Saccharomyces cerevisiae S288C: one gene and its partners. The protein of the gene in region 3 purifies or fractionates together with the protein of the main gene of each other region. This does not show direct contact. Each region holds a gene or a part of one and is shown on either strand. Other genes may lie near its edges. The genes, in order: ENP2, UTP22, NOC4 and KRE33.

Region 1 (7,724 bases), on a different chromosome or scaffold from region 3:
ATCCTAGTGCGCCTTTCACATATGTTCCAGAAGATTCGCTTAGTCGGCCAGCTAAAGCGGTTCAGCTTTTGAGCTAAAAATACTTGGAAAAAATCTGGCCGTGACCATAGGTTACCGCGGAATAGAGGAGAAGTTTTCATCTCTTTTTTTCTTAATGTAGGGCACACGACTCGGGTGTATTTGCTACCGTGTTTATTACCGTCATTCATCGCCCCATCTCATCGCTTTTGCGCACCGGGTTCAGATCATTCAATTTTCTTACTTTTTTATTATGGGGTTCCTCCCTGAGTGTAATTTAACGTGTGCTTTCTTATTGCATTCGTTTACATTCCCTATTGCTCATTGCCCTTCTTTCAGTTGGGCATCTTTTTTTTTCACAATTAGGCCGCCCTTTTTTCCCAAATTGGCACTTGTTTGTACGATCTTTAGCTAGAACTTGGAGACCTGAAACGTGGTGATTCTTATATTTAAAGGAATACCGATCTTTTCCGTTTCAACACCCCAATTGTGAGAATTTTATTTCTTGCATTTCGGAAAATTTAGATACATTCACATCCATACTTGGACACATATATATATACAATATAATCATTGACACAGGCCATCGCCATTGAGTAAACTGTCTTTGAACTGTCTAAAGAACTTAGAACTATAGTGTTGTCCCAAGAAGTTAAAAATTGAACACTTGTGAGAATTATAAAACAGAGTAAGCAAAGAAAGAATAGAGAAACAATACTCCGCTACCGATTCTCCTTTTTTTCCTTATAAAAAAAGCTCGAGAATAATTACTTTATTCTTATCCCTCCACTCCTTTCAGGTATTCTTTACCGATTTGCATATCAATCATATAATGAGCACCGCATTCAACGATTACTGCACTGTTTGTGATCGTCTCATTCCAACATCTCCACAGAAAACGAACATTAATACCAGGAAGATCCAAAGGGACAATGAAACCAAGAGCAGTTTACAATCAAATAAGTTATATTGCTCCGAAGATTGTAAGCTGAAGGATTCGAACCCTCTTAATGAGAAATTATTATCCCACTTGCATAAAAAATCAAAAACTTCTCATTCGCATAATCTCACTCCACCGCTTTCATATTCTAAAAATTTAACTGCATCAAACCTCTTCGAGCCGACTACCTCACTATCTTCATCTCCGACATCTTCAACTATCCCCTTTGACGAGTTGGAGAAGCTAGAGTCCTTATTAATTTCACCATTGCTGCTACCTCAGGATGGTATAGTCAATCCTAAGCAGGAGTCTAATCCTTCTCGTGTTGACGAATATGATGAAAATGAACATTATTTGAACTTAGCCGACTCTCTTAGACTCGATTCTAGTTACCAATTGCATTCAAAGGCACATTTGGGTTACGAAAACAACTTGCCACGATCAAACGATCTAATTGATGATCATTTGATCTCAGATCAGATCATTGAGAATAACTACAACCTATGGTTTAGACTATCCTCCAGTTAAACGGCTTCACTTGCTTCGTATCTTCTTCGACTTGCCTTTAACCTACTCATGATTCATGCTTATTTTTTCTTTTTCGATTTCCTTTTCTAGTCATCCTAAAAAAAAAAAACCTACACATATACATATATACATAGTTCTCTACACATCCTTTTGATAAAGAAAATATGTACGTACATCTGCATTAAAAAAAAAAAACAAAACCCTCAATATTTGGGGAAAGAATTCTATAATGTAAACTGTATCACGCATACTTTTTGCTGTCTTCGTCTTCATACATATAATATTTTTAGTTTAAGGTGAAAGGATAATTAAAATATCAATTTCTAATATAACTACATACCACGGAACGCATTTTTGCTAGCTCTTCTTCTATTTTCGAATCTGGGCTTCGACCTACCATTGTCCTTCTTATTACCATTTTCGTCAATACCTTCTTCATCCGATGAATTATCATGACGCCTGGATTTATAATTTCCGTCTTTTTTGCTTTTTCTTTGAGGAATAAAAGTAAGTTCTGCTTCACCGCGTTGGTTACGACGTAAAATGGATTCATTTGATTTCTTTCCATTTTCCACCTCAAGCAATTCGCCTACTTGTTCGCCAAATGTAACGTGAGCACTTTCGTCTCTTTGCGTACTCGTGGAAGTGCCGGCTTTCATTTCGTTCATAAAACGTTCGCTTTGCTCCTTTTCCTTCTTTCTGCGTTCAATTAGTGCCTTTTGCTTTTCCATCTTTCTCAAATCTTTTTCACTTAATTCTTCCTTATTTGACTTTTGGTTCGTTTCATCATCAGATTCTTCTTCATCAGACTCTTCATCCTCGTAGTCATAGTGACCTCTGCCATCCTTCATTGCAATTCTTTCTTCGTCGGACTCTTCGGCAGCAGTTAGCGCCCTAATACGTTTAGCAGCACCTTCTTCGGTTTCTTTGATGGATTTTACTGGATTCAATTGTTTGAAATCATAGTCATCTTCATCGACTTGAAATTCTTCATCCTCAAACATTTCTTTGAAACGGTCATCCGTAAGAACCTTTCCTGCAACTTTATCACCACGTTTTTGAGATAGTTTATCAACCAATGTTTTATTGACTTTAATTTTAGGTTTTTGAACAGCCCCTGAACTTCTGATTCTGGATTCTCTTTCTTTCTCAATTCTACGTCTAATTTCTCTTTCTCTTTCATCTTTGTAGGCATCTGGATTAGCAATTAATGAAACCTTATCGTAAAGTTCAGTGTTAATAAAGAAACCATGCATGTATGCTCTTAATACTCTGGATCCCACCAAGTGCGTTAAATTCAATTTTTTAACGTCGTCTCTAGTAATGAACCTGTAGTTAGAGTAAACAGTGTCACTTGGTTTTTCTTCTAATTCTTCTGTGATAGAATCCAAGAATGAGCACCAGCGTGGAGATGGTCCTAAACTTGGAATATAATATGTATGCATGGGAATACTTTCGTTAGCGGTGAAAAACATACCTGTACCTGGTACATGCTCAATGTCGTTAATATCAACACTAGGCTCCATAGAAGCGTATGCCTTACCATCTAGTCTATCCCATATTTTTGCAATTCTCTTGTCACATGTAACAATTTTATTTTCCGTGCCGACGTTATCCAACCAAATAATTTTCTTAATGTCAAACCCATAACCTTGGTCTTTAATAATGGAAGGTTCAGAAGTACGCAAGTCATAAATGTATGAATAACCGTTCGACGTACCACATGCAAAAGTTAACCCGTCATTACGGAAACTGGTTGTGGTGACTTGGAATGGTCTGTTGTCAATATTGTTCTCTAAATATAGCTTTGAAACACGGGAACGCGACCTTGGATCCCAGAATTCCACTACATTTGTTTCCGTGCCTGCCGCTAACAACCCATTTACTTCATTGATAGAAACATGGTTCACGCCTTCAGTATCCAACTTGAATGGGTTTAAAAATCTCCCCTTTTCCAAGTTCAACCTGTATAACTCATTACCGCTCGCACCAACATATAAATCACAGTTTACCTTATTGTAAACTAAACTTCTCCCAAATTTAGGAATTCTTGTGGTGTAATGTAGACCACCTTTGTTTTGGAATTGAATACTTCTATCATTTTGTAAATGTACACTTTTAGTCCAATCGTCAGAGAGAATAGTGAAATCCACGTTTTCAGCATCTGTGTGTCTATCGAACTTCAGTGACAAATTAGCAAAATCGTAGACATGGATCTGAGGTTTGTATGTACCGGTAGCCATGCAATATTGCCCATCTCTACTCACTTTAATCTTATTGGAGGCTTCGCTAAATTCAAAATCTTGAATCAGTTCTACTCTATTTTGATATTCTAAATCATTCTTTAATTGCCTTTTGCGCTTTTTCGCAATCCAGTCTGGAAGTGATCTTGAAACGTTTGTACCAGAAACCTGATATACTGAAACATCATTTGCGGAAGTAGATTTCAAAACCATAATGTCCCCTTTTTGAAGATATATGTTGATACCTGTAACTGATGTAATAAATGATGTGTTACTGATTACAGCCGATGAGATGAGATGAGCTTAGCTCAAAATTTTCAATTTTTTTTTTTCTTAATTTTTTTTAAGATCATATTTGGTTACCCGACCATGAAGTGACATTTGAAGAATTGATTTATATTTTTAATATTGCAAGATGTGCGAAAACTCACCATTACAGAGATAACTAAAAGTCTTATCTCATCACTATCGGATCTTTCCACTTAGTATTTTCTACGGTTAATTTAAAAATCAATAATAAAACAAAATCATCAGCGAAAATTGTGTATATAGCGTGTATAAAAAATATATAAATCTTTAAAAGCATACCTCATTAAAAGCCTAAGCAGCAAAGTGTTTCAAAATTTGCTCAGCAGCATGAACACCACTCAAAGCCATAGCTCCAAAAGTTGGACCCATACGGTTTAATCCATCCAGTTCAGCAACTTCCATACCAGCAAAGTACATGTTGTCAACACCGGCGTATGCACCAGAGTGAATAACGACATCGTGTTCGGCATGGTTCATGTCCAGACCCTTCATACCGCCCAATTTTTGGTTTTGATCAATGTCGACGATTCTCTTGGCGCAGAAAGCACCAAATGGACCATCATGACCGGTAGTGGATAAAATGACACCATGCTTTTGACTCAAGTCACGAGTTCCGTCATTTTTGTAACCTGCCAATTCAATTACGTTAGGGTCCATGCAACATTGAGTACCGTGAGCTTGGGTAACTAACGTCCAGTTGGTGACAACACCAGCAACGGTGACTTCGCCCTTTTCGGTAGGTGGTCTGGTAACCAAATCTTCAACACAGGTAGCATTGAACAGTTTAACATTTGGTAATTGCAAGACCTTTGAAAGGACAGTAGAGATGAACAAAGCGGCATGCTTAACGACAACATAGTCACCTTCGTCTTCGTAAGGGATTTCCAACTCTTGTAAGAACAAATGAGCTGGTTTTCTCATAACCATGGCACTAAATAATTGACCACCCAACCAACTACCACCACCTGGTGCAACTGAACTTTCGATAATACAAACCTTCAAGTCTGGTCTGTTCTTGGCGATGACGTAAGCGGCGGATAAACCTGAAGAGCCCGCACCGACAATAATCACGTCAGAAACGGCAAACTTGTCAAGATCCTTGAAATAACGAGAAGTCATAGCACGAGAGACAGTGGATTCGCGGATGGGAGCAAATTTAAAGTCAGACCAATCTTCTTTCTTAACGATGTCAGATAAGCAGTGAGTAACTGGAGTAGAGTTTAAGTGCAATTGAGAGGCACTTGTGGAAGTAGCAGTAGAGGTAGCAGACATTTTGATAGTTAGTTGATTTTTTTGGTTGTGATTTATTATTTCTAGATGATAAGAAAGAGAACATAAAAGATATTTCCCGACTACTTAATACACAATTTATTCCAATATTTATATATCTGGGTAGTTCATAAATTGAAAATCAAAAAATCAATTTCATGATCCATTTCTATTAGTGCTCGTAAAAAAATTTACGATTGAACTTGGTAACTGATAGAATACCAGATTCTTTACTATCAATTATGTATGTTTTTTAACGTGCATAATTATTAAAAGACCATTTGATTTTAAAAATGACGTTAGGAGATCGGACATTTTATGAAAACTTCAGAAAAAGGGCTTAAAGTAGAGTATCGTTTTGGACGTCTACAGGAAAATGGGGTGGTAAATGTTCTTGGCGTAAAAAAAAACTATTCACTAAAGCAATTGAGTGCCGATCCCTGTTGAGGAATGCTCATAAAGAGAAAGTATCAGAATTATTCCCCGCCGTAAATTTGTAAAAAAAGGGTAAAAAACGGTTAATCCTGAAGGGGCTTGGAAAGCTCGCCAGCTTCTTGTAATTCTTGACGCCACATATAGCAATCACTAACGAAGAAGTTGACTTTTTAGGGGGTTGATAAGCATTTTTCCCACCCATTTGCATCAGTTAATGTCAATTCAGTCATGATTTGCAAGATATTAGGAGAAAAAGTATGAAAATTAAAAAAGTAATCTTGAGCGGTACGAGAATCGAACCCGTGTCCCCACCTTGGAAGGGTGGGATGATAACCACTACACTAACCGCCCGGGGTTAACTTGAAAGCTCTAAAAGCTCGTTTTCCATATATAGGCATGTTACAATTCCTTTCCATTCTTTCCATTTTATCCATTATCTGATGCATTTCCCTGATAGAATAAGAACAAACTACCATCCATCGATTAGTATTCATGTCACTAGTATATTAATTATCATTTATGATGTAAAAAGAGGACATAAAAGTTATAGAACAGTCATTAGGTTTAATAAAAGCTTAAATAAGAGGATCGATGAAATAGTAGGATAGTGAAACATATAAAATGGAAAAGAAATAATAATACTATTAGGTAGATATATTGATTCCCTTTGGATTCCTGTATCTTGCAGAAGAACTTTCAACATTTTTTCTATACGCAATATCGTAGCCTGTAACAATAATTGTTGGGATTCCATTATTGATAAAGCAATAATGTTAGGTATGTAGGATATACTAGAATTTCTACTCGAGGGTATAGGAATCCTCAAAATAGAATCGAAATTTCTACATAATAATTGAAGAGAGTGTGGGTTCTGATGTAATTGTTGGGATTCCATTGTGATTAAGGCTATAATATTAGGTATGTAGATATACTAGAAGTTCTCCTCAAGGATTTAGGAATCCATAAAAGGGAATCTGTAATTCTACACAATTCTATAAATATTATTATCATCGTTTTATATGTTAATATTCATTGATCCTATTACATCAATGCTTGCATTTCAGCTTCCTCTAACTTCGATGGCAACTTTTCATACCTTATGTCACCATCTAACGCCTTATATGACAATATACTGACATTAGGAATACTAGTTGATATAAGATAGTGGATTTTTATTCCAACAAATTTTCAGCTCCTTTTTTTCCTAGGTTATAAATAAAAACAGTTAATGAGAAATGAAAATTCTTGTCTTTACTCAAGCAGGAATTACGAAGCCTATCAGTCGCATAATTAATATTGCATATAATGTCTATATCCAACAGTGTTCTTGTAGGGTATAGGAATCCACAAAAAGGAATCAATAAGTTTTACCCTCTACACGTTGTCACCCCTTTCCTTTATCACACTATCAACCCTTGTGTTTGAGCTTCTAATAAATTCGTTCCGGTTGGATCTTATTTTGCTGATTTCATAATTTACCAGCTTCCTAATGGGGTGTTTAGTAGTATTTCTAGCAAAATGAATAATAATATTAACCTCTTTCACGAGTTAAAAAGTTGTTGAATTTCGCGGCAGTAAGAGGGTACCAAAAATACTGGACTAGCAATTGGTTTATTATGAAGTACTTATCCCTGTCTGTACCATATGATATTATTTAGAGAAAGCGCAAGCTTAATACCACCTTGACCTTAAGCAAACTACGTAAGCACTAACTCAAAATAGGTAAACTTCATTGGTCGCAAAAACTGTAGGTCGAATAATATATATGTGTTAGTGTTTATATTTATTTGTAAGCCCTTAAAGAACCCCTGTTTATAAAACGGAGTCAGATGGGAAAGAAGCTATAAAAAGTAATTTCATCGCTGTTTTTCATCTCTACGTCTTAATTTCATTTTCAAATTTGAAGCTTCAACCTTGCTGCGAAAAATCAATAACGGAACAAAAGGTAAAAAAGTAAACAGGACGGTATACTCTTAGCAGTA
Region 2 (9,020 bases), on a different chromosome or scaffold from region 3:
GTCCCATGCCCATCGAAACTCAAATTGCTCATATTGCCTGCCAAGAGGTCGACATTTTTTTCTGATTTTGATAGCATATTAAAGAATTTTTCTTTAGCAAGGAATACTGTAGATGTTGCTTGAATTTTTCTGGTATATTAGTTTCTATCTTTAGCAAGGTTTCTATCTTACAATAATTTACTTGGACGAATTGCCTCCTTGTATTTATTTTTAAATAAACAACAAGCGGAGGGCTTCAACATCAAGGTAGCTTCGAATGATTTAGATTGAGGAATGAAACATGTCATTGTTTACTTTTTGAATAATTACATTTCCTAAAAAGGGCATCTGGGTTGCAGCGTGTGGTGTTTGGCTTTTTACGAAATTTATGAGCGAAAACGCTCTCGCCGGTCACTACTATATAATATCTTTTTAAATATTATCAAGTATGTAGAAGAGCCCTAACCATGACCGGAAAACCAATTGGTCTCTTCTTCTGGGTTAGTATGCTGTTTCTTGTGCATTTGAACCATCTCTGGCGACAGATTCGGTTGCTCTGTATTATGACCCAAGGAGATTAGGAATTCGTCAGCTTGCTGATTAGCCTCAGAAATCCTGTGCTTCATTACCTTTGTTAGCTTGGCTTGATTACCAGCAGATCTTCTGGAACCTGATGTAGCTCCTACTGCTTGTTGTAAAGAAGTATTAGACATACCCAAACCAACTTCTTCACCATAGGAATCAAGAACAGTTTGTTCTTGCTTGCCAAATTCCATCCTATTTTGTAATTGTCTGACATGCGATAGTCTGAATTTTTCCTTGTACTTCCTAAATTTTCTCCCAGCTCTTTTCTTTTTGGGTTGGTCCTCCGGAATAGGTAGAGCCTTCGTTTCAGAAATGCTCGGGGCTTCTGATAGCTTTCTAGCTTTCTTCGATAGTTCGGCTTTCCATTTATGAGCTAAAACTGTATTTCTATCACCGTTTTTCTGGCCAGCATCAACTCTTGCGGCTAGTGATACTTTTGCACAAAGCATCCTAAGCATTTGTTTATGGACAGAAACGGGAAATTTCTGAATCATGTCAGAAGCAAATAGATATCCTTCTTGTCGTACTCCACTCTCTAATGTATGTAACTCATGTGAGAGGTGCTTATTCTTCCCAATGGACGCAATGTTGCAACTGGGAATGCGACTGAACTCCAAAACCCCTCCAGCATGTGCTATTAATTGGGCTGCTATCTCCGGGCCTACCAAGAAACACACGTTAGGGGCAATTATTGATATCTTTGAGGCTATGTATTGACCTATATCTTCTTGTAGTTTCCATAAATTTTCCAATATGCTATTTGCTTCTAAAATTTGCGTCCTCGTTTTGATGTCCAATGGCTCTTTGTTTTTGAAAGACGTCTTCATGGACATTGTTAAAACGAGGATCTGCTCTCTGGTCAATTTTGCTTTATTTTCCAAGTGGAAAAATAGTTCATCACTTTCGTTTTTTGAATAATTTTCATTTTCCAGTATGCTTATCACTTTTGAGTATTGTAATGGTGATGGTATCAATGAAGATAGTTCTGGAAAACGTCTACTGTACAGTGAGATTAGAAAATTGTGCATTAATTTTATATTGCTCTTGATGAGGGGGATGATTTCGTTAAAAAACGGTAACAGTTTAATGAAATCTATTTCTTGTTGTTGAAGGATTCTTTTTAAATCGACAATTTTTGGTAAAATCTGTGCTGTCTCTGATAGAGATAACCTATCAGGACTGATGAGTGCCAACGTCCTGAATAATTCTATACTTTCCGGAAGAATTTCGAATGGATTGAATTTTTCTGTTTGACAATTTACCGTAGTGAGCTTTTTAGTTTGTATGTCTTCTTTTTCCTCATTAACTTCATCGGCAAGGTCATATTCGAGCTCATCGAAATAGTCCTCTTCAGAGCTCATAAGGTCTTTGTATATTTTCTGCAGCCAAAATGCTATCAAATAGTGCTAGTTGAGGCGTTCAAATCGTTTACCTAGCTTTATTCTGAGCGTCGCCACAGCAGTACTATTCAAAACTTTTAAAAATACTAAGTTAACTTGTGCCAAATCGCCGAAAGGACCACATCTAAAAAAAAGAATTAAAGAAAAATATTCTTTATGTAAACTGCCGGCTGCTTTAATTATTTAATATTATACAGATACTTCTAAAAGTTATGATTTTGTTGTTTATTCTAATCTGTCTCAAAATTTATAACCATGTCATTCCCGAATGCAGCAATCTCATGAAATATGGCTTCTTTATTTAAAATCACATTCTCATCATCCACTGGTTTAACGTTGCAATCCAAGTTTACTCTAAATTTGTGGGCTCCCTTGAAGAGTGGCTTTATTAGCCCTGTGATGACATTTTTATCTCCTTTCTCTCCACCATTCACACCTATATACTTGCGGCTTGATAAAATCAAACTATTCTTGTACTTCAAGTTCAAATACTTCACTAACTGGTATGTTGGATCCATTTTTTCACTTAAATCATTCAAATTCTCTGGAAAGTTCGATGGGGCTTGATCGTTAGTTATATTCTTGAACTCTGTGGCTGAAAGTATACCACAGGATGATTTCAAACCTATTGGTGTCCTCAAATCAACGACAAAATCGTAATCTTTTAATCCAGGCGTGAATAAAAGATTGATAGTTTGCTGGTTTAAACCGTGTGTCTGTAAAAGATTCACGGCTACTTTAGCTAATGCTGTAAGCCTTGTAGCAATGGGTAGTGGGATACCTGATGAATAAAGAATACCGCTTGGATCGTTCTTAGAGGCAACAAAAAATTGCAAATGTGTACCGTTGGGATCACTGTTCCTCAAGTTCGTGAAGTTCATTTGAATGCCCTTATATTGTGCTAGGGTTAATCTTTCAGAAAGCTTTTTCATCGTTTTGGAGTCTAGCTCTGAGCCAGCTCCAATACTTGTTTCAAATGTATCTCTTATATCATCTTCTGGTTTTACTAGATCTAAAATCAATGGATCATCTTTCCAGTTCCATTGACTTATAAACTTAAGCACTTTGAGGAAACCGTTTTCAAGAGAACCTGGAATGAAATATGGTGCAGGATCAACAAAAGGTTTAATGGCAATCAACTCTGCTAATTCGTCCGTTATATGACCTAGTAATAAATGAGTGTCCAACCATCTTTTGAATAGTCTTACCACAGGGGAGTAGAATTGATACGAATGAGATATATTCTCCAAAGTACGAGTATGTCTTACGGAAGCCAGATATTTTGCAGTAAATTTTAGGAATGTGGCCTCCAATTCTGGTTTCAACTCATTCCTAGCATTCGCTATAGCTCTTAAATAAAGGATTTCGTCACGTTCAGTTAGAACTCTGAATTTGAATCCATAACCTTCAGGTGTCAAGATGTTCAAGGTTACAATTTCTAAATTGTATGGGATGGATTCATCTCTGCTGAAAAACGACCTATAAGTTGAAGAGTTAGCGCTTAATTCTTCTTGAATTTTGAGAAGAAAAGCTGTTTTAGCCTTTTCTAAGGAAGTAATTTCATCTGGCCATTTAGGTGAGGTTTCAAATTCCAAAATGACGTCTTGAAAGAAATCTGGATCAGAGTATGCGAATGGTACTGGTTGGCATAAGGAAGTGTATCTAAATGCAGAGCCAACCGGTAAGATTGATTTTACAGAAAGCGGTAACTTCATTTGGAAAATTATTTTGTATAAATCGTCAAAGGATTTCTTTAAGTTGAAAAAGCTGCTCAAGTTCAAAACTGATGTTTTAGCACTTGAGGGTAAGTTTGGCAACGGTAGGAAATTATGAAACTTCTTGATAGTCTCATTTGATATTTGTGCCTTTTTTGAAACATGTTTCTGCAATGCAAAGTTAACAATTGAGGAAATGATGGGCTCTGATGAGGATGTAGACCAAACACAACAATGGGTGATGGAGCCATCCTTGAATCTTCTTAAGGAAGATTTAATTCCCCAAAAATTCTTAAAAACGGCTGCTTCTGTAGACATAGTTTCAGAATGAGCAGGGCCCTTGGTGACTAATTTGTCACATTCAGAGGGGTTAACAATCAATTTTACTCTTACAAAATCAAAGTTGAAATGGTTACCTCCTGTGTTAGAGTACACTTTTCTTTTGGTGATTGGAAAATCGGACTTTTGACCAACCATTTCAATTTGGATATATTTGATTCTATCGCCCAATGCATACCTTGCAACATTTGTAATCTTGTGGGCGAGGAAATTCTCCAGAGTAATAAATTTTACTCTTTCCATTGACCCAAATGTAGCAGCTAAAGAAGTTTCTAAATTATTGTACTTACCCAAAGGTAACTGTACATCGTAACACAGATCGTACTTCAAATTGTCAAAACGGCTAATATTAGTCAAAAAAATATTTGAGAATTGGTCTTGAACAACGTTGTTTAGCATTCTCAATGTTTCACCGGCATATTCTTTCAAAATTTGATAAGAAGAAACAGTCATTTTTGTAAGAATATTGACCTTGGTTGACTTATCAAATAAGGTTGGAGTTTGGAAACCCTCATCAATATATTTAGAAGCTGGTGAACTGGAGGAATTCTCTGGATTAGAATGAAATTGTAAATGGCCGTCGTGGCACAAATCCATAGTGGCTAAGTATTTTATTACACCTTTAAACAATTGGTATGATGAAAACCCGTGAAGTAATATCTTGTTACTATTTATACCACCACCGTTTAATAACGCTGCCATCAAGATAGTAAATTCAAAAGTACCGAATCCACCCAATGAACCAGAATGCGACATATTGGATGAAAACCCACGTTGCTGCAGCCATAATCTACCTAAAACAGTAGCTTCAACAAAAGATTCTGTTTGTTTCTTCGTCTTGTATAAATACTTCAGGTAGTTTTCATGTGTTGAAGAAGATAACACTGAAAAATTGTAAAGAGGAGTGGCTGGTAAAGATTGCTCTTTGCTTTCTTGTGCTATTCTAATACAGTTTCTATTGGGTAACAGTTTTTTTGGTTCAAAGACTTTGTATGGGAAACCAATAAGCAAGTTGATAGAGAATCTGGTCTTGTAAAAGTTATAATCAGAAAGAGAATCACCCGTTGGTTTGGAACAACTAATTCTTAAAATTGGTAAAAGCGGATCATTATCAAAATAAGAATACTCGAGTTGCAAAAATGAGTCTAATTTATCTTTTTTCAATAATATCAATAGGTGGTGGGTTAGGTATGCTAAATAAACGCTCCTCTTGTGTAAGCACCTGAAATTTAAGAAATCTTTTTTTTCGAACAACTCCTTTGGCATTGTTAGTAAAGTATCAATGGAAGAGCCGTTAGGTTGATAAATTCCAGCTTTAAGAGCAAAGGAGCCAATTAAGGAGATGTCTGGTTTCTTGTAATTGAATTTATAATTAGTATTTTGAGGAATAGGTTTGGGGTCAACAAATGGAACAGAAACAATCTTGTTTTTGAAGAAGGAGTCCACTTCAGCTAATGACTTTTCCTCCCAATCAGGAATTTCCTGGAGAATATCATATAACTTGTGTAGAAATTTTTCGACTTTCAGAACATGTTTTTGTTTTAACTTCACTTGCTCCAGTAATTCGTCAATTTGTAACTTGAAAATATTAGACTTGAATAATTCAGCCGTTTCTCTAGCTATGTGAATATCATAGGACTCTGTTGCAGTAACCTTTCCATTGTGGCGAGTCGCAGCAGTGTTAGTAGCGACCTCGTTACTTTCAGGTGAAGTATCGCTTTCGTCGTTTTCTTGCTCGGGCACGGTACGCTCGTTGATGGCTTGACTACTGTGATCATTTTCTTTGGATCCGTTGTCAGTTGTGCTGTCCTGTGTGGAATGTTTCTTTTGCACTTTAACAATATTCTGGTCAGAAGTCTCAGATGCTTTTCTTTTAACACTTGTAGCCATGGTATATGAAGGAGATCCTTTGTAAAATTTCTATGAAAACTATAATGTTCTACCCCAAAGTGATTATACCTGTGGTTTCAATAATTCAATCAGAGGATAAATCTAACAAAGGAAACTTTGAAGATTTCTTGGAGTTGGTTCTTAAAGTGAAAGCAAATATCTGGCCTTCAAAAAAGCAAAATGAAAACGTCCTGTTTCCAAGTATAAGAGCTGCCGATTTAAATTCTATTAAAAAATAGAATGGAAAAGTATAAGATTAAAACCCTTTGGTTTGCTTGAGATTCTTGACGTAAAGTGCTAGTGGTACATATTGAAATTATCATTTGGTTAAATTTTCCAAATTACAATTGAAATTTTTCAACGGCATGCAGCGAGCCGTAGGCCGACGTTCCCAGGCAGTGGCCACCACCGGTCCTGCCTAAATCTTTACTCGGCCCTGGGCCAACCTTCATGGATGGCGCGATAATTCTATACCGGTCGCCCACCGGATGGACAGAACTTCCGTACAACAAGCAAAAAAAGAGATATATAAAATTATGCCACCTGTCAGAATTGAACTAACGACCTTTGCATTACAAGTGCAACGCTCTACCACTAAGCTAAGGAGGCAAATTTTTACCAAGAGACTCAGATTTGAGAACTAGGAATTTGTTAAAAATAATGAATACGCACATGAAACATAAAGGGATTGTCTAAAACTATAATTGCAAATTTTCTAAAGAAAAGTGAGGTCACCTACCATCAAAACCAACATATATACAAATAAGGGTACTTTTCAAATTCACAATGTGAATTAGATACACAGAAAAAGAGTTACTTTTAGACTAGAAGATGTCTTAGCATTTTGGTTAGTTTGCTATATATCAAATGGTAGCGCTTGCTCAAAATTAAAGCTTACAGTTGTTCTAAAGGAAGGATAGTTTGAACTATATTATAAATTTATAACCAAAATCACTGGGGTATATAAACGATCGCCAATTAGCCAAAAGAATATGATAAAGTTATCAGAAAACTTGGGACGTATTCGAAGTATGTTATTTCTTGATAAGCTTAAGAAATACATTGGATACTTTGAAGAAGCACCTATGCTTTACAGAAAATTGGAGGGGCGGATAATAACAGTTTCAACTAGACGGAAAAATCGATACAAGATAAATTTGGAGGTACGGCAAAAGATTCGCTACCGAGCCTAAATATCCACTTCGTTACGTTCATCCACATGAAGATGTGAACAGGTGTTGGTATTCTCGTGTCCACAGCAGCATCAAAATCAGCAGGCCATGGATAAACTTTCCGTTGTCATAGCAGTGGCGCGGTCGATTCCCTATAATCACGACGATAGGACTGTAGTTGTTATCTTGACATACATCAGTATGCATGCTGAAATTTCCATCGTCGAGCACTATCAGAGCCACGTCCGGTATGTGTTGGAAAACGATCATTTCTTCATTGGCTAGTGTTCACGGCACTAGCATATTATTGTATATGACACAAGAATTAAGGCCCAAGCCATGGGATATAGTTATTGATTTCAGTGGAATCCGAAACTAAGATTAATAATGTAACAGGATATTGAACGACAGAATGCAAAAAGGAAAAAAATAGTAGCACTATTACTTAAAAATACCGATCTCCATTCATGGATCTTTGATCGTCATGAAGAACCCCTAATACATTCCGTATATTTTACCGAATAATGGAAACCTAGAAATTACCAGCAGATTCATCAATTCTTTAGTAGGCGCCTATTCTCGTGTGGAAACTATATTAAAGGGATTCGTCAATAACTAATCGTTACTCAGATTATCCCTATCAAATCGTGATAATATGTGGTAGGCCTCCATCTCTTCGCCAATTTTGCAAAACAACCTGAGAATTGGTCGTAATTGTAACCTAGAAAACTTGATATGAGCACAATTATAAGTTAAAATACGATACAATAATGTTGAGATTGGTTATTGATTAAATTCTATTGTTGTATATTACCAACTTACTCTCTATATTTGCGGTAGTGATAACCTCGTTAGAAACCTCAATCCATTGCAATTCTTTCCATGAACTTAGTATAAATTATAGAATATTAGTTTTCGTAGCTTGTAATGTATTTGAATTGGAACCATCTAATTGTTATCTGCCATTTTAGTATTTTGGACAAGCTCCAAATATGTGGTCCTAAGTTCATATCGAGGATACAGATTATTTGGGCCGTATCTTTGATGTCATGGAGAGTAGTGTGGCCTTCCAAGTCCTGGGGCAGCTATTAATTAGGGAATGTTTTGATCAACAACTTAGTGTTAATAGTAGACACAACGATGTGAACTGTTCAATACATCAGCAAACATTCTTAGTTTTTCTCATATTTTATGTTTACTTATGTTAACCTGCATTATTTCCATAAATAACAAAAGGCAAAAAAGTAACAAATGAAGTTATTAGGAAACAATAAAAAAACAATATCGAGAAAAAAACGACTGACTACATTTAAAGTAGAACGTCCAAGTAATAAATACATGTATATATTCAATAGAAGTAAATTTTAGGATGCTACAAAACGAATTCTTATCTATCTTTGTTTTCTAATCTTCCATCAGTAACTATTACCAATTAGACTATGTATATTTTCATTCTCATTTTCTAATCTGTTGATATCTTGCTCTAACCCCTTTATAGTCAATTCAAATTTATTGGCTTCGCGTATCCTGTACTCCTTTCTTCTAAATCTATCCTTTTCTCTTTTACTCAAAAATTGAGTACTGAACTTTTCTATCTCTTCTGCGTTCTGATCGACCTCCTTTTGTAACTTCTCGTTTCTCGCGTTCAATTTGTCCAGTTTAGAGCCTAGTTGAACTAATTCTTGATTGACCTTTTGGAACCTCCCTTCTGAGTTTTTCAGGTCTTTCGATAAGCTTTCTTCTAACTTACTGAACTCTAATTGATTTTTCAAGTGTAGATCTTTCTTTTTCAAGTATTCCTCTTCTAATTCAAGCTCTTTTTCAGTGAGAGTTTTCAATTGCATCTCTAACTTATTTACCGCAGTCTCACTTTGCTGTAGGGCAACCTTCAAATTTTCGACTTTTAAAGTGCTCTTTTCGTCATGTGTTGCGTTCTGTGA
Region 3 (6,904 bases):
AAACAAAGACTCCGGATAGTTGTTCTGGTATATTCAAATAGAATAATAAGAAACACAAAGAGCGGAAAAATTGATAGCTTTAATGCTTATATAATATTCGATAATTTTTTTAGCTGTAATACTCATCATCATATTTTGATTCGAGGCGCATCAAATTGTAAACAGTGTTTGTTTTGATTTTGTTTGAGATTCATTTTGGTGTATCTCCATTACCCTCTTATTGGAAAATTTTGAAAGAAAAAAATCTAGGATTCGATGCCCATAAGATATAAGGAAAGGTAATAAACAGATGCTATGAATAAAGCGATAGAGAAGCCGAAGGAAAATCAGTACATAATTGATCATGGGCTCCAAGCACAGAGTAGACACTAAGGATAAGAAAAGAACCAGAAAGAATGCAGAATTTGGGCGTGAAAAAAGGAATAGTGGCAACCAAGAGTTAAGTAATGAGCCGGAAAAAGATACAATAATGGAAGGTGATGAAGCCGAAGAAGACGAGCAGAATAGCTCTAGCGATGAATCATCTAAAATTATAGATAACGAACAAAGTGATGCTGAAGAAGATGATGATGAAGAAGAAGAGGACGACGACTTCCCAAGAAAGAAAAAATCGAAAAACAGCAAACATGATGATGGTTCTACTGGATTTTCTGCTGCAGTAAATGCTATTTTATCATCACATCTGAAAGCATACGACAGGAAGGACCCCATCATGGCTAGAAACAAAAAGGTGCTGAAGCAAAGTGAGTCAGAAAAGCTAGAATACAAGGCCAAAAAAGCATTGTTGGCAGAAAAAAAAAAGTTATTAGGTAAAGCCAGAAAGACGGATATTATTCCAATTGCTTCCGGAGAAGACAGGTCAGAAAATATTAGAAAAGTCCTTGAGAAGGAGACAGCGCTCAGAAAGATAGCTCAAAAAGGTGCCGTGAAATTATTTAACGCCATTTTAGCAACTCAAGTCAAGACAGAAAAGGAAGTATCCGAAAATTTAAGCGAAATTAAGAATAAAGAAGAAAAGAAAGAATTGATCACTGAAGTTTCCAAAGAAAAATTTTTGGATTTAGTTAAAGCTGCCGCAGGAAGCGACAATGAATAATCAACATGTTCATGTCAAAAGAAGAAAAAAAATAAAGAAATAAAAACTGTATATTATTTAGTCTATGTCAAGCGAGAAAGGGGCCCTATATCTTCCCTCCTCCTTGCAATTGAATTTTGTTTGCATTCTATATTATCATATAGTTTCATATCAATTGCAAAAACTTTTGCAGCCAATGTTACAAAATTGTTTTCAATCAAAGAAATACAGGTGTGGTGTCCTTCACCATCGATATATTAATATTAATATATCATGAATAAATATAAAAATTCAAGGTAATGTACTTGTGCACTTCTTTTAGAATATAGCAATTTCCCTTAGCTCTTTTTCAAATTGTAATTCTCTACAATACATAAAAAGAAATTGATCTTTGGTTCAACTTTATATATCGCAATAAGCAATTCTCAACATTATGAAAGTTTATCTAAATTAAACAATCTTCAACAATAGAATGGTCTCTTGGCCCAGTTGGTTAAGGCACCGTGCTAATAACGCGGGGATCAGCGGTTCGATCCCGCTAGAGACCATTTATTTTTGACCCAGGTTTTTTTCCTAGGCAAAATTGATAACAGGGACTTACTATTTTCTATTTTTTTTTTTTTTTACATCTCAAACAAGGGAAATCGATGACTCTGTTGATATAAATGTATATATACACACTTTTAAAACTTCGTTGTTCATCTTCGCTTTCACCATGCTACCCCAGGCAAGTAGACGTTACCTTGGGATGACGCTTCGCTATCGCCGTCTTCATTATCAAAAACGTTTGTGAAAGCCTCAAATTCTAACGTAGGAAGTGTCTTCAACTTTCTTGAAGATTCTGCATTGAGCAAAGAATCATAGTTCCAGTCTAAGAAATCTTCCATGTTATAACTTAGCTTCTTAAATGGTTGAGCAAATATCTTCGCCAACGTGGCTACATTAGGATGATAATGTTCCATCAATGACGCCAGCTCCCACAGAGAGGAATCCAGTGCATGAGTTAACTCAGGGTCCGATTCATGAACATCGAAGGGATCTACATAGTTTTCTTTCAGAGTTTTCAAGTTCGCCACTTGGTCAGGTGTCTGGAATGGGTTGGAAATGAAGGCTGGGTTGTGCAGCATAATCATACAATTCGGATGTTTCCTGATTAAATTATAGATGAAGGGAATCACGGTGACAATAGCAGAGGGTGGTGATTCTAGGGTGAGTCTGGCTAGCTTTTTGATGAAAGATGCTACTAAATGGGCGGATAAATGTGTTGATGACAAAAATACGTCCATTAACCTGAAAAATCTTGCTCTGTATTTAACATGCATTAAGTCTGGATTTATAATTTGATAAAGTTTCATATAAAAATTTGGATATTCCAAGTTGAATCTTTTCATCAATTCAAAAAGGCCATTCAGAGCCAAGATCGGAACAACACCGGCGTTTTTATTAGAGCTTTGCAAATTGTAGGAATCAGTAAGGAAATCCATTAGTTTAGTTGGAGTGTGGAAATGAGGTATTATTCTCTTATGCAAAATTAACAGAATAGACTTATACTGCTGTAAAGACAATTGGCCGTTTAAAAGGGATAACCAATTTTTCTCGAAATTGGACTTGAATTTGGACTCGTTCTCTATGGCTTGTGGGGGATTTGGTACAAAGATCTCTAAATCTGCATCAACACTAGAGCAATGTTTGTCATGATTTACTAAAGCTAACCATTTACCAACGTTTTTCAAAAGCAAGTCCTGGTAGGCTGGATCCTCTAATAGTTGGTTAAATTCTGATTGAAAGTAGTATTGAATATCTGCAAATTTCGTATAATATTTTTCCGTGAATTCTACTATGATTAAATTTTCAGACGCACCCGAGCTTTTGACATCCTCTATTTCACCCATGTTCGAGGACCATAGGGCGATGATTAACTTTCTGAATGTTTTATTGGGGAAAAATGGTGCGCCCTTTTCAGATGCAAAATGAGTTGATTCCAGCTCTGCAAGTTGAAGATAGACATCAAGCGAATCTAACCCAAGTGATGTTTCGAAAGGTATGTCCGAAATGATAGCTAACAGCTTCGTCTTGAACGCTTCATACACCTTTCTACACCAATTAACAAACTGTTCCTTCTCTAATGTGCTCTTTTTGGACGAAGGAAGGGTCAAGTCGCCGCGGGAAAACAGCTTTCTAAATATCTGGAATAGCGACATAACCAGAAATCTCAAATTTTTTTCTGTCTCATCTTCTTCCAATTGAGTAACATTTTCTGGAATCACTAGTTCATTGATTAACTTGATAATGGAGTTGTACTGCTTTCTGTCACCCGCAGCAGTCAGCCTCTTGGCAATATCTTTAATTTCTGATATAAGCAATACCATATTCTTTGACGTTTCTTTTTAATAGATCTCTCTTCATGGCAATAGAGGATGATAATTACATCTCATCTCATCTCATCAAAACCGTAATACACTTTTTTTTTTCTCAGTTGGAAAATTTTAGTGAAAAATTTCAAGAATAGCCCTAAACCTTCAAATACGAGGATTACCCGTAGAGAAGTGCTGAAAAACTTTTTTCTTTTTCTTTTTTTTCGATTTTCATTTAACAGGTATAAAAAGCGAAACACTCGGTACATATATTTTACCAAGACGCGTTAGATTTTCTTTGGAGGTTTCATTTAAAGAAACCAATGACCTTCCAAGTTTTTAAAAGAATACGATGATATTATTTGCGTTTCAAATCGAACAATTCTTCTCGGAGCGATCTGAGGTTTTAATGGAGATAGCGGTTCCTGCGCAACCCATTGATCTTGTTACATTCTTAAGAATGACAAGGACGCTTTTATAAAATTCTGATTCTTTTTTCTTTCATTCTTTTGTTGTTTTTGACTTGGGAGTAGTCATCTCATCTGTACACAAGTAGCTTTTTATATGTTCTTAAATTGTAGACTAGTCAAAACTTGTGTCCTTTAAACCGTGCCGAAACAGTTTTAAAGCGGACATCCAGGGAAACTTGCCGTTAACAATAAGTGACCTTGCATGGAAGACTGTCGATTGGTCTCTGTGGAAACCAGTGCATATCTAAATTAAATCTATTGTCATCACGAATGCCGCCCGTGTTCGTGCAACGTGAGCGCAAATACGCCTGGGGTCTGTCTTTCTGCGCTGGAAAGCACCTTCGGGCATCAACTACCGTTTCTTATCGCTGGCACTATCTATCCACCAATCACACGGCAGCAGTACTGCTGCCGTGGACGGCAAATTAGGTACAGGGCCTATGACTGTTATCATTTGGCAGGCTCAGACAGAGAGAGAGAGCACAAGGAAAAGAGCCTTAACTCATGTAACATTTGACTCATTCTGTAAACTGAAAATTTGCTGCCCACTCGAGATGACAAATAGTTCGTTCTTGAATTTATGCGCATTTATAGATACGCATATATAACCCTATAGTGAACGCCACTAGGAGACAGATTCTGTTTGGACCCTGATCGCATACTCTTCTTACCTTTACATAATAAAATAAGAAAAAGTATAACTTGCTTTACGCTAAGGATATAAATCGGACGTAACTTAAGATGTGTGGTATTTTCGCCGCTTTCAGGCACGAAGACGTGCATAGATATAAGCCAAAGGCTCTACAACTATCAAAAAGAATCAGACACCGTGGTCCAGATTGGTCCGGTAATGCTATCAAGAACTCCACTATATTTGTTCATGAAAGACTAGCCATTGTCGGTGTGGAATCCGGTGCTCAACCAATTACTTCTTCAGACGGAGAGTACATGCTATGTGTTAACGGTGAAATCTACAACCACATTCAATTAAGAGAAGAATGCGCAGACTACGAGTTTGGAACACTGAGTGACTGTGAGCCTATCATCCCAATGTACTTAAAGCACGATATCGACGCTCCTAAGTACTTGGATGGTATGTTTGCTTGGACTCTTTACGACGCTAAACAAGATCGTATTGTGGCAGCCAGAGACCCAATCGGTATTACGACATTATATATGGGACGCTCTTCCGCTTCTCCAAAGACCGTTTATTTTGCATCCGAACTAAAATGTTTGACTGACGACTGTGACACTATCACTGCATTCCCACCGGGCCACGTATACGATTCTAAGACTGACAAGATCACCCGTTACTTCACACCAGATTGGCTGGACGAAAAACGCATTCCTTCCACCCCAATAGATTACATGGCAATTAGACACTCCTTAGAAAAAGCCGTTAGAAAGAGATTAATGGCCGAAGTCCCATACGGTGTTCTATTGTCGGGTGGTTTGGACTCCTCTTTAATCGCTTCCATTGCTGCCCGTGAAACTGCAAAGGCCACTAACGATGTCGAACCATCAACTTACGATAGTAAGGCAAGACATCTAGCAGGTATCGACGATGACGGTAAGCTACACACTGCTGGTTGGACAAGTCTCCATTCCTTTGCCATCGGTTTACCAAATGCTCCAGATTTGCAAGCCGCAAGAAAGGTTGCCAAATTCATCGGCTCTATTCATCATGAACACACCTTTACATTACAAGAAGGTTTGGATGCTTTGGACGACGTGATCTACCATTTGGAAACTTACGACGTTACCACTATCAGAGCTTCCACTCCAATGTTCTTACTATCCAGAAAGATTAAGGCCCAAGGGGTCAAGATGGTTCTTTCCGGTGAAGGTTCCGATGAAATCTTCGGTGGTTATCTATATTTCGCACAAGCTCCTTCTGCGGCAGAATTTCACACTGAATCCGTGCAACGTGTCAAGAACTTGCATTTGGCAGATTGTTTGAGAGCTAACAAGTCTACGATGGCTTGGGGTCTAGAAGCTCGTGTTCCATTCTTAGACAGAGAATTTTTGCAATTGTGTATGAACATCGATCCAAATGAAAAGATGATTAAACCAAAGGAAGGACGTATTGAAAAGTACATTCTAAGGAAGGCATTCGACACCACAGGAGAACCAGATGCTAAGCCATATTTACCAGAAGAAATTTTATGGAGACAAAAAGAACAATTTTCCGACGGTGTTGGTTACTCCTGGATCGACGGATTAAAAGATACCGCCGAAGCAGTCATTTCAGATGAAATGTTTGCCAGTCCAAAGGCCGAATGGGGTAGTGACATTCCAACCACAAAAGAGGCTTTCTGGTACAGACTAAAATTCGATGCTTTGTTCCCTCAAAAGACCGTGGCTGACACCGTTATGAGATGGATTCCAAAGGCCGACTGGGGTTGTGCTGAAGATCCTTCTGGTAGATATGCCCAAATTCATGAAAAACATATCGAATAAATAACATTAAAAAATAGAAAAAGAATTATGGATTAATCTTATAGATATTTTTATAGAAAAACAAACACTAACAATAATAATAATAATAAATAGAATATAGAAATACATATTTTTCATAATAGTTTGATGAAGTTTTATTCATAAATCATTTTTTATCGCCAGTGCTAAAAAATTAAGTGTGTGGATGACTGTATATATGCGTATCGAACGATCTTGATGCAAATCATTTTGAAACATTATTCTTGACTTTGATATTTCCTATTATACATCCTCCTTCCTTGAGACCCAATAATCTTAAAAATGATGGAGACAGTGCATGCCCTCCTTTTCACCCTTCTTTTATGTCGTTTCTTACAATTTTCGAGATTCTTTTGAATCTGATCTCCTTTTACCTTGTGACTGAAGATTCCTAATCGAATTGCTCCTCTCTAGCGACGCCCTTTGTTTCATTTCGTGTGCAATTAGTAGATCGTGCCTTGTTATTACTGTATTCTTATTTCTTGATTTAATTTCCGCTCGATAGTTTTGCGGATATTGACTATCAC
Region 4 (6,764 bases), on a different chromosome or scaffold from region 3:
TTGTCTCTTACCTGGGGGGACAATGTCTTTTAAAGCAACGATTCTGTCCAACAATGTTTCATTTTCATCAAATTCATCTTCAAAATCACTATCAGAGTCATCTTCATCATCGACAACGTCGTTGTTTGTTGCAGAAGCCTTTTCTTCCACGATGGCCTGATTTCTGGAAAATTGTGGTTCGTCTAATTGAACGACATCGTCTTTAATTTCAGTTAATTCGACCATTTGAATGATGCTTATTTTGGGGTATATAGTTCCGTTTTGACCTCTTTGGTTACTTCGTATTACTCCAAAAGTTACTCACTACGGAGTGGAGTATGTTGATTGAAATTGTCTAAAACGGGTTCAGTTTTCGCCGGCATAATCGTAATACTTATATCGCTCGACACGATTGAAAGGAATATGTAAAGGTTCAAACATCAACTATGTTTCTATTCTATATTATTGTACAAATTAAGTAAACGTTTAGCTATAAAAGGGTTTGACAAAGAGTAGAACGCTTAATTTGCAGCCTTTTTAGACTTTCTTGGTTTTTTCATAGCTTTCATCTCTTGTCTATAGATATCTTCAGCCTTTTCAGTCGTTCTCTTTTTACCAGTTTTTAAACTGACGACGCCTTTGGCCTTGGCAGCTATTTCTAAAGATTTTTGAGATTCAGCCCATTCCTCACTGTTATCATTTATGGCGTATTTATCTAAGTTCAAGGAGTTGATTAGCTCTTTTTGTTTTTCCCTCATCGCCTGAACGGCTTCAGAACCGGCTTCTTCTAAATCTTCTTCCATTTGGTCCAGTGCTTCTGCAGCGTTGTAATTTTTGATTTCTTCACCATCCATTTCAGCAATAGCATCATCTTTGATATTTGGTAGAGTTTCTTCAATTGATTGGCTTAACAGCTGACGGAAGTACTGAGACATTTTTCTCATGATCTTCGCAAACATAGCAATAGTTTGATTGGAAGGTAAATTCAATTCCTTGGCAATAGTGTCGATGTTTTTACGCTGTAACCCTATAGCCAACAGGATAGCACTCTGGACGCTTGATAGTTTTACTGAATCTCCCATTTTATCGCCGAAGTACAAAAGAGCAAGCATGGGTATCATATCACCGATAACGTGATAATCTAGCAAATTATTTGAGTAGCTATCCAATCTTTTCAAGTCAAATGGAGAAAAAATGTCATCCAGATGCGTCCGCGTCAATTCTTTATTATCATGCTTTTCGTCATCAGACAAATCTTGTGCTTTCTTACTACTTTCAATGACACTTAAGGCTTGAACGGCAGTAAACTTATGAAAATCATAAGAAAGAAGCGACAGAAATCTTTTACGGAAATCTTTGGCAAATTCAACGAGCCAGTTTGATTCTCTGCCTTCCAAAACGTTCAACATAACACAAGTATGTTCACCAGTTAAATCGTTTGCGGTTTGACGTAAATAAACAGGAACAAAGCTGTTATTCTTCCAGAATTTATGCAACGATTGCGTTAAACCATATGAAACACCCAAATAATGTAGATAATGAGGAGGCTGTTCAGAAAGTTTTAATAGTAGAGGTGGCAACGTTTTTGCGTCTCTTAATTTAACGTCATCCTTTAATAAATTAGTTTTGGCCAGTTCCTTATCGCTCACCCTCTTTATAGAATAATCCTTAGGACGAACATCTTCAGACATGTCAGTGAATTTACCCTCGAAATAGTCTCTCAGTAATTCAATTGCACGAGAACCATAGCCCATGGATGCGTATTCAGGATTAGTGGCAATTCTGACGATACGAGCACCACTCAAACTAGCGAATTCCTCGTCTTGGAATTGTTGAGAGATCAGCCATGGGATTAAATCACCACCAGCTCTTTGGCCTCTCGATAATGAATTTCTGACACTCTCCTTACTGATTTCACCTTCCAATGCAATTTGAATGACACATAGAGGGTCAGGGATCCTGCCGCCATCCTTTGGATCAATTGGTGGTAAAAGAACAAATAGTTTGTGCGCTGGGGCGTCACTCATCAGTTGTAAGTCGTTTGGAGAATTCTTGTAATGGGATGAAACGTACAGTGCCATCATTTTTTCCAGGAAATTTTCTGAGACAGGATGATAAGAAAATAGAGTATCTCTATTGACAACAAATAGATTACATTGGGATGGGTGAGGAGTTCCTCTTGTTGCAAATCTTGGGTTTTTAATTAAAGTAACATCTAAACATAAGAGCTTGTTTAACCATTTTTCAATTGGGTCACCAGGAGCATATCTGATTGGTTCGTCCAAGGAAATTTCACGTAATTGACGGGATTGAGAATGTAAGTGAGAGTCTTTTTCCTTATTATCTCTCGAAACAACGGCGGTTTGAGTACTTTCCCGACCGGATGTGTTGTTTTGATTACGCAATTGCTGAATTAACTTCAGAGATAAAGATCTACCCGTACCTTCGTAACCATTGATAGTGGATGCCATGAAGACTAGATATGGGCCCAGCAAGTTCTTGACGATTGGCAAAGGAATAGCTGCAGCTTCATCAATGACAACTAATTCAGCTTGGCCCAGAACTTGATGGTCTTGAGGAACAATATATTGAATCGTTTGTCTGTGATCTCTTTTAATATCAACTCTCACAATGGCTTTGTTGAAGTCGGGGTTCGTAGATTGAATGATATCATAATCAATGTGTTCTTGGTAACCTAAGGCATCGAATCCTTTGAAAATAAACTCAAATAGAGTCTTTAAATTTTCGGGAGATGGAGAAGTAACAAAAATATTAGAATACCCGTGAGAAACGGCCGCGGCAATAGAAATACCTAAAGCAGCAGACTTACCTCTACCTCTTCCAGCTGTTAGTGCAACTGTGAAATTCAAAGTTTTTTCCGAAATGGCATCAATGAAAGAAAGAATAGCGTGGGCTTGATTGACAGTTTTGGATAGAGAAACCAATGAACCAGCTGGTTGGACATCTTCTAAGGATTCTTTTAATTCTTGCAACTCTAATTGCTTTGGAGGCAATTCGTCATCTTCCTTAGGAGGTAGTGGTTTCACGTTTTTGGCACCAGATAGCGGTAGAACATTTAATTCATCATCAACGACTAAACAGTTTGGATTTGAACCTAAAGAAAGTATGAATCTTTCGTTAAATCTTGCAACAACGTCACCATGAGCCTCAGTACGATAACGGGCGTGAACATCCATAGTCATGGTGTACAGTTGCTTTAACGATGACATTGATTTCAATAAAATAACCACAATACCACCACCTTCTACAGTTTCAATGGTTCTTGCTAAAAGATTTGGGGTTAATGCCTCGAAGTCCTGAAGAATACACATACCATAGGTATTACCCAATATTTTCTCACTCTCTTTGTAGTATACATATCTGATATTTTGGTTAGAGATAAAAGATTCAAAAGGGTCCATTTCATTCACTTCCCTTGTACCTCTTTTAATTTCTTTCTTAATTTTATTCTCTCTTTTTTTTCTGTGCGAAGTGAATCCTAGAAGCTTCTTCTTATAAGCCCATAAGACGGACTTGTTCATCTTAAGGTCAGCACTCATCATCAAATAATGTAAATTTGGGAGCTGGTTACGTGCCCTGTCCCCAACGATGACAAATATGGACCTTTGTTTGGTTTGAACACCATTCCTGATCAGTGACGGGATTCTTGAATCGATAGCTTTTTTGGCCATTTTCTCCTTGTTTTATAAGTCTCTTATAAGTCTTTGCAAGTTAAAAACTAAGAAATATAAAAGGTGACTTGGCTTATATACTCTATTGCGTACTTTATTTGAGATAAATACAGAATCTCCATGCATCTTCAGCACCTCATCTCATCTCATTGTATCTTGGCTCTTCATTTTTTTTTTTCAAAATTTTTCACACGATTCCGGGTAAACTATTACTTTTTACAACTAATTCAGATATACCTGGGAAGTTACAATGGAAAACATGCAATGTTCGGTCTGGCTTGTATCATTTGATTGGAAAAGCGAGCATCGGTTGATACTGAACACATCCACATGCGTAATCATTAAAAAAAATTTTTCAAATTGCGAACTCTGTGGATCGAACACAGGACCTCCAGATGACTTGACCGAAGTTTTTCTTCAGTCTGGCGCTCTCCCAACTGAGCTAAGTCCGCTTATTTTTCTGAAACCTTTTCCGCCTTTTTGTCGTCCCTAGGAATTACTTTTGATGCACTGCCAATCTGAGGGAAAAATGACGTTTAAACGCACGAGAATGTGCAATTAGATGTAAGTCCATCGAAGCCTAGAGAAAGCGGTTCCAACAAAAGACTGTGGGCTCTGTTATATCATCATGTCATCTACCAGTGATAATAATGCTAATAGTGCAAGAGAGAAAAAACCACTGAAATTCGTGTCAGAAGGAGTTGGTAATGTAGAGGCCCAGAGGATACGAGAGCAAGTGGAGCAAAAAAAATATGAAGCGGAATATAAAAGGAAAACCAGGAAGTCCCTGCGAGATCAGCTTAGGTCTAATGCTATTAGTAAACAAAAACAATATAACGGTTTGGTGAGAGACCGTGAAAGTTTTACTAGGTTGAGTAAAGAGGACCTGGAATTTTACCAGAAGAGCAAGAATGAGTTGCTAAAAAAGGAAAAAGAACTGAATAACTACTTAGACGTCAAGGCAATCAATTTTGAAAAGAAAAAAAAAGCATTACTAATGGAGAACGATTCTACTACTAATACAGAAAAATATTTAGAGACCGGCACTAGTTTGGGCAGTAAAACACAAATAAAGGGCGTAAAGACATCCAGCCCTAAACCAAAAATCAAGGTATCCATAAAAAAATTGGGTAGAAAACTGGAGAACTGATGTGATGGCCTACACACTTCGTCACAACTAGAGCTTTATGCCAAGATTAAACTTCAAGTTATATAAATTATGTAAACATTGGACATACAAAACTCGGAAACTCTTTTTCTATTCATCTTCCCTTCTCGTACGTGCCCACGGAAGCAATAAAAAGAACCGAAATAACCAACACCCGTAACGTCAAAGCATTCATGCTTAGAATGGAAACCATTTCGTGGAATGAAATGGCAAATTGATCACATTGATTGCTCGTTCCACTACCTGTGTCCGCAATTTTTTAATGGTCATCACAGCCCCTGCTGACTAAAGTTCCTCGGATCCGCTTACGGTTGTCGCGCGGTTCCGCCCCTGCGTACTCTTAGTACCTAGCATATGGGCTCCCTCCGTTGGATTGGCATCGATTAGTAAGGACAGATGTTAAGGATTTAAGACCGTTTTTAAGGTATTTCGGCAATGCTTCGATTTAAAAGGAGAGAGTTTTTTTTTTGCCGTTTTCTTCCTCTCACTTCTTGATTAGTACTGTAATTCTAGTTGAAAAAAAATCGTTAACTATACACAGCAAAAAGCAATATCATACTGCATATCAAGCATGTCCGCCTCGATTCCAGAAACCATGAAAGCCGTTGTCATTGAAAATGGCAAGGCTGTAGTCAAACAGGACATTCCAATTCCTGAATTAGAAGAAGGATTTGTTCTAATTAAGACTGTCGCCGTTGCCGGTAACCCTACCGATTGGAAACATATTGATTTCAAGATTGGTCCTCAAGGTGCCCTCTTAGGCTGTGATGCAGCCGGCCAAATCGTAAAGTTGGGCCCAAATGTTGATGCTGCACGCTTTGCCATTGGTGATTACATTTATGGGGTTATTCACGGTGCTTCAGTGAGGTTCCCCTCAAACGGTGCCTTTGCTGAGTACTCTGCCATTTCATCCGAGACTGCTTATAAACCAGCCAGAGAGTTTAGATTGTGCGGTAAAGACAAGCTACCAGAAGGCCCCGTAAAATCTTTAGAAGGGGCAGTATCCCTCCCAGTCTCATTGACCACGGCTGGTATGATCCTTACACATAGTTTTGGCTTGGACATGACATGGAAGCCCTCCAAAGCGCAAAGAGATCAACCCATCTTATTTTGGGGTGGTGCCACTGCTGTTGGCCAGATGCTTATTCAATTGGCAAAAAAACTAAACGGTTTCAGCAAGATCATCGTCGTTGCTTCTCGTAAACATGAAAAATTGTTGAAAGAGTACGGTGCAGATGAACTTTTTGACTACCACGATGCTGACGTTATCGAACAGATAAAAAAGAAGTACAACAACATTCCTTACTTGGTGGACTGTGTCTCCAACACAGAAACTATTCAACAGGTGTACAAATGTGCCGCTGATGACTTAGACGCTACGGTCGTTCAATTGACCGTTTTAACCGAAAAAGATATCAAGGAGGAAGACAGGAGGCAAAACGTCAGTATTGAAGGAACCCTTCTATATTTGATAGGAGGTAACGACGTCCCATTTGGCACGTTTACTTTGCCAGCAGACCCTGAATACAAGGAAGCCGCCATAAAATTTATTAAGTTCATCAATCCAAAAATCAATGATGGTGAAATCCACCACATCCCAGTGAAAGTTTACAAGAACGGGTTAGATGATATCCCACAGTTACTTGATGATATTAAGCACGGGAGGAATTCTGGCGAAAAGTTGGTTGCCGTCTTGAAATAAATAATCTATAGCTACTTATGTATATAGCGCTTGATCATTCTGTTTACCTCCACATTATAGTGCCGTTCAATTCCCCTCACCCGCCTTAGTCTTTTTCGGGCAAAAAAAATTGCCGGAAGAGAGACGTCGTTGAAAGAATTTGGTGGATAAACTCGTGAAAGCTTAAAGTAAGGCCTTTCACCTAAACTCGAGTATAAGCAAAAAATCAATCAAAACAAGTAAT

Evidence for each region.
Region 1: the proteins of NOC4 (region 3) and ENP2 purify together in Saccharomyces cerevisiae (affinity purification with mass spectrometry; 6 studies listed by BioGRID, with this or other methods). This does not show direct contact.
Region 2: the proteins of NOC4 (region 3) and UTP22 purify together in Saccharomyces cerevisiae (affinity purification with mass spectrometry; 8 studies listed by BioGRID, with this or other methods). This does not show direct contact.
Region 4: the proteins of NOC4 (region 3) and KRE33 purify together in Saccharomyces cerevisiae (affinity purification with mass spectrometry; 9 studies listed by BioGRID, with this or other methods). This does not show direct contact.

What each region holds. Positions count from the first base shown.
Region 1 is NC_001139.9:777,985-785,708, reverse strand, and holds ENP2 (ribosome biosynthesis protein ENP2), read right to left. Parts: upstream 3,943-7,724; coding exon 1,819-3,942; downstream 1-1,818. Other genes in the region: YGR146C-A (uncharacterized protein), read left to right, coding at 272-433; ECL1 (Ecl1p), read left to right, coding at 851-1,486; THI4 (thiamine thiazole synthase), read right to left, coding at 4,330-5,310. UniProt on the Saccharomyces cerevisiae protein: May be involved in rRNA-processing and ribosome biosynthesis.
Region 2 is NC_001139.9:659,246-668,265, reverse strand, and holds UTP22 (rRNA-processing protein UTP22), read right to left. Parts: upstream 5,909-9,020; coding exon 2,195-5,908; downstream 1-2,194. Other genes in the region: serine/threonine-protein kinase DBF2, read right to left, coding at 1-77; U4/U6-U5 snRNP complex subunit PRP31, read right to left, coding at 441-1,925; NNF2 (Nnf2p), read right to left, coding at 8,496-9,020. UniProt on the Saccharomyces cerevisiae protein: Involved in nucleolar processing of pre-18S ribosomal RNA and ribosome assembly.
Region 3 is NC_001148.4:817,980-824,883, forward strand, and holds NOC4 (ribosome biosynthesis protein NOC4), read right to left. Parts: upstream 3,445-6,904; coding exon 1,786-3,444; downstream 1-1,785. Other genes in the region: rRNA-processing protein RRP15, read left to right, coding at 344-1,096; ASN1 (asparagine synthase (glutamine-hydrolyzing) 1), read left to right, coding at 4,641-6,359; YPR145C-A (uncharacterized protein), read right to left, coding at 6,711-6,904. UniProt on the Saccharomyces cerevisiae protein: Involved in nucleolar processing of pre-18S ribosomal RNA and ribosome assembly. Has a role in the nuclear export of 40S pre-ribosomal subunit to the cytoplasm.
Region 4 is NC_001146.8:372,228-378,991, reverse strand, and holds KRE33 (ribosome biosynthesis protein KRE33), read right to left. Parts: upstream 3,672-6,764; coding exon 501-3,671; downstream 1-500. Other genes in the region: TOM22 (Tom22p), read right to left, coding at 1-225; FYV6 (Fyv6p), read left to right, coding at 4,300-4,821; YNL134C (uncharacterized protein), read left to right, coding at 5,411-6,541. UniProt on the Saccharomyces cerevisiae protein: RNA cytidine acetyltransferase with specificity toward both 18S rRNA and tRNAs. Catalyzes the formation of N(4)-acetylcytidine (ac4C) at positions 1280 and 1773 in 18S rRNA.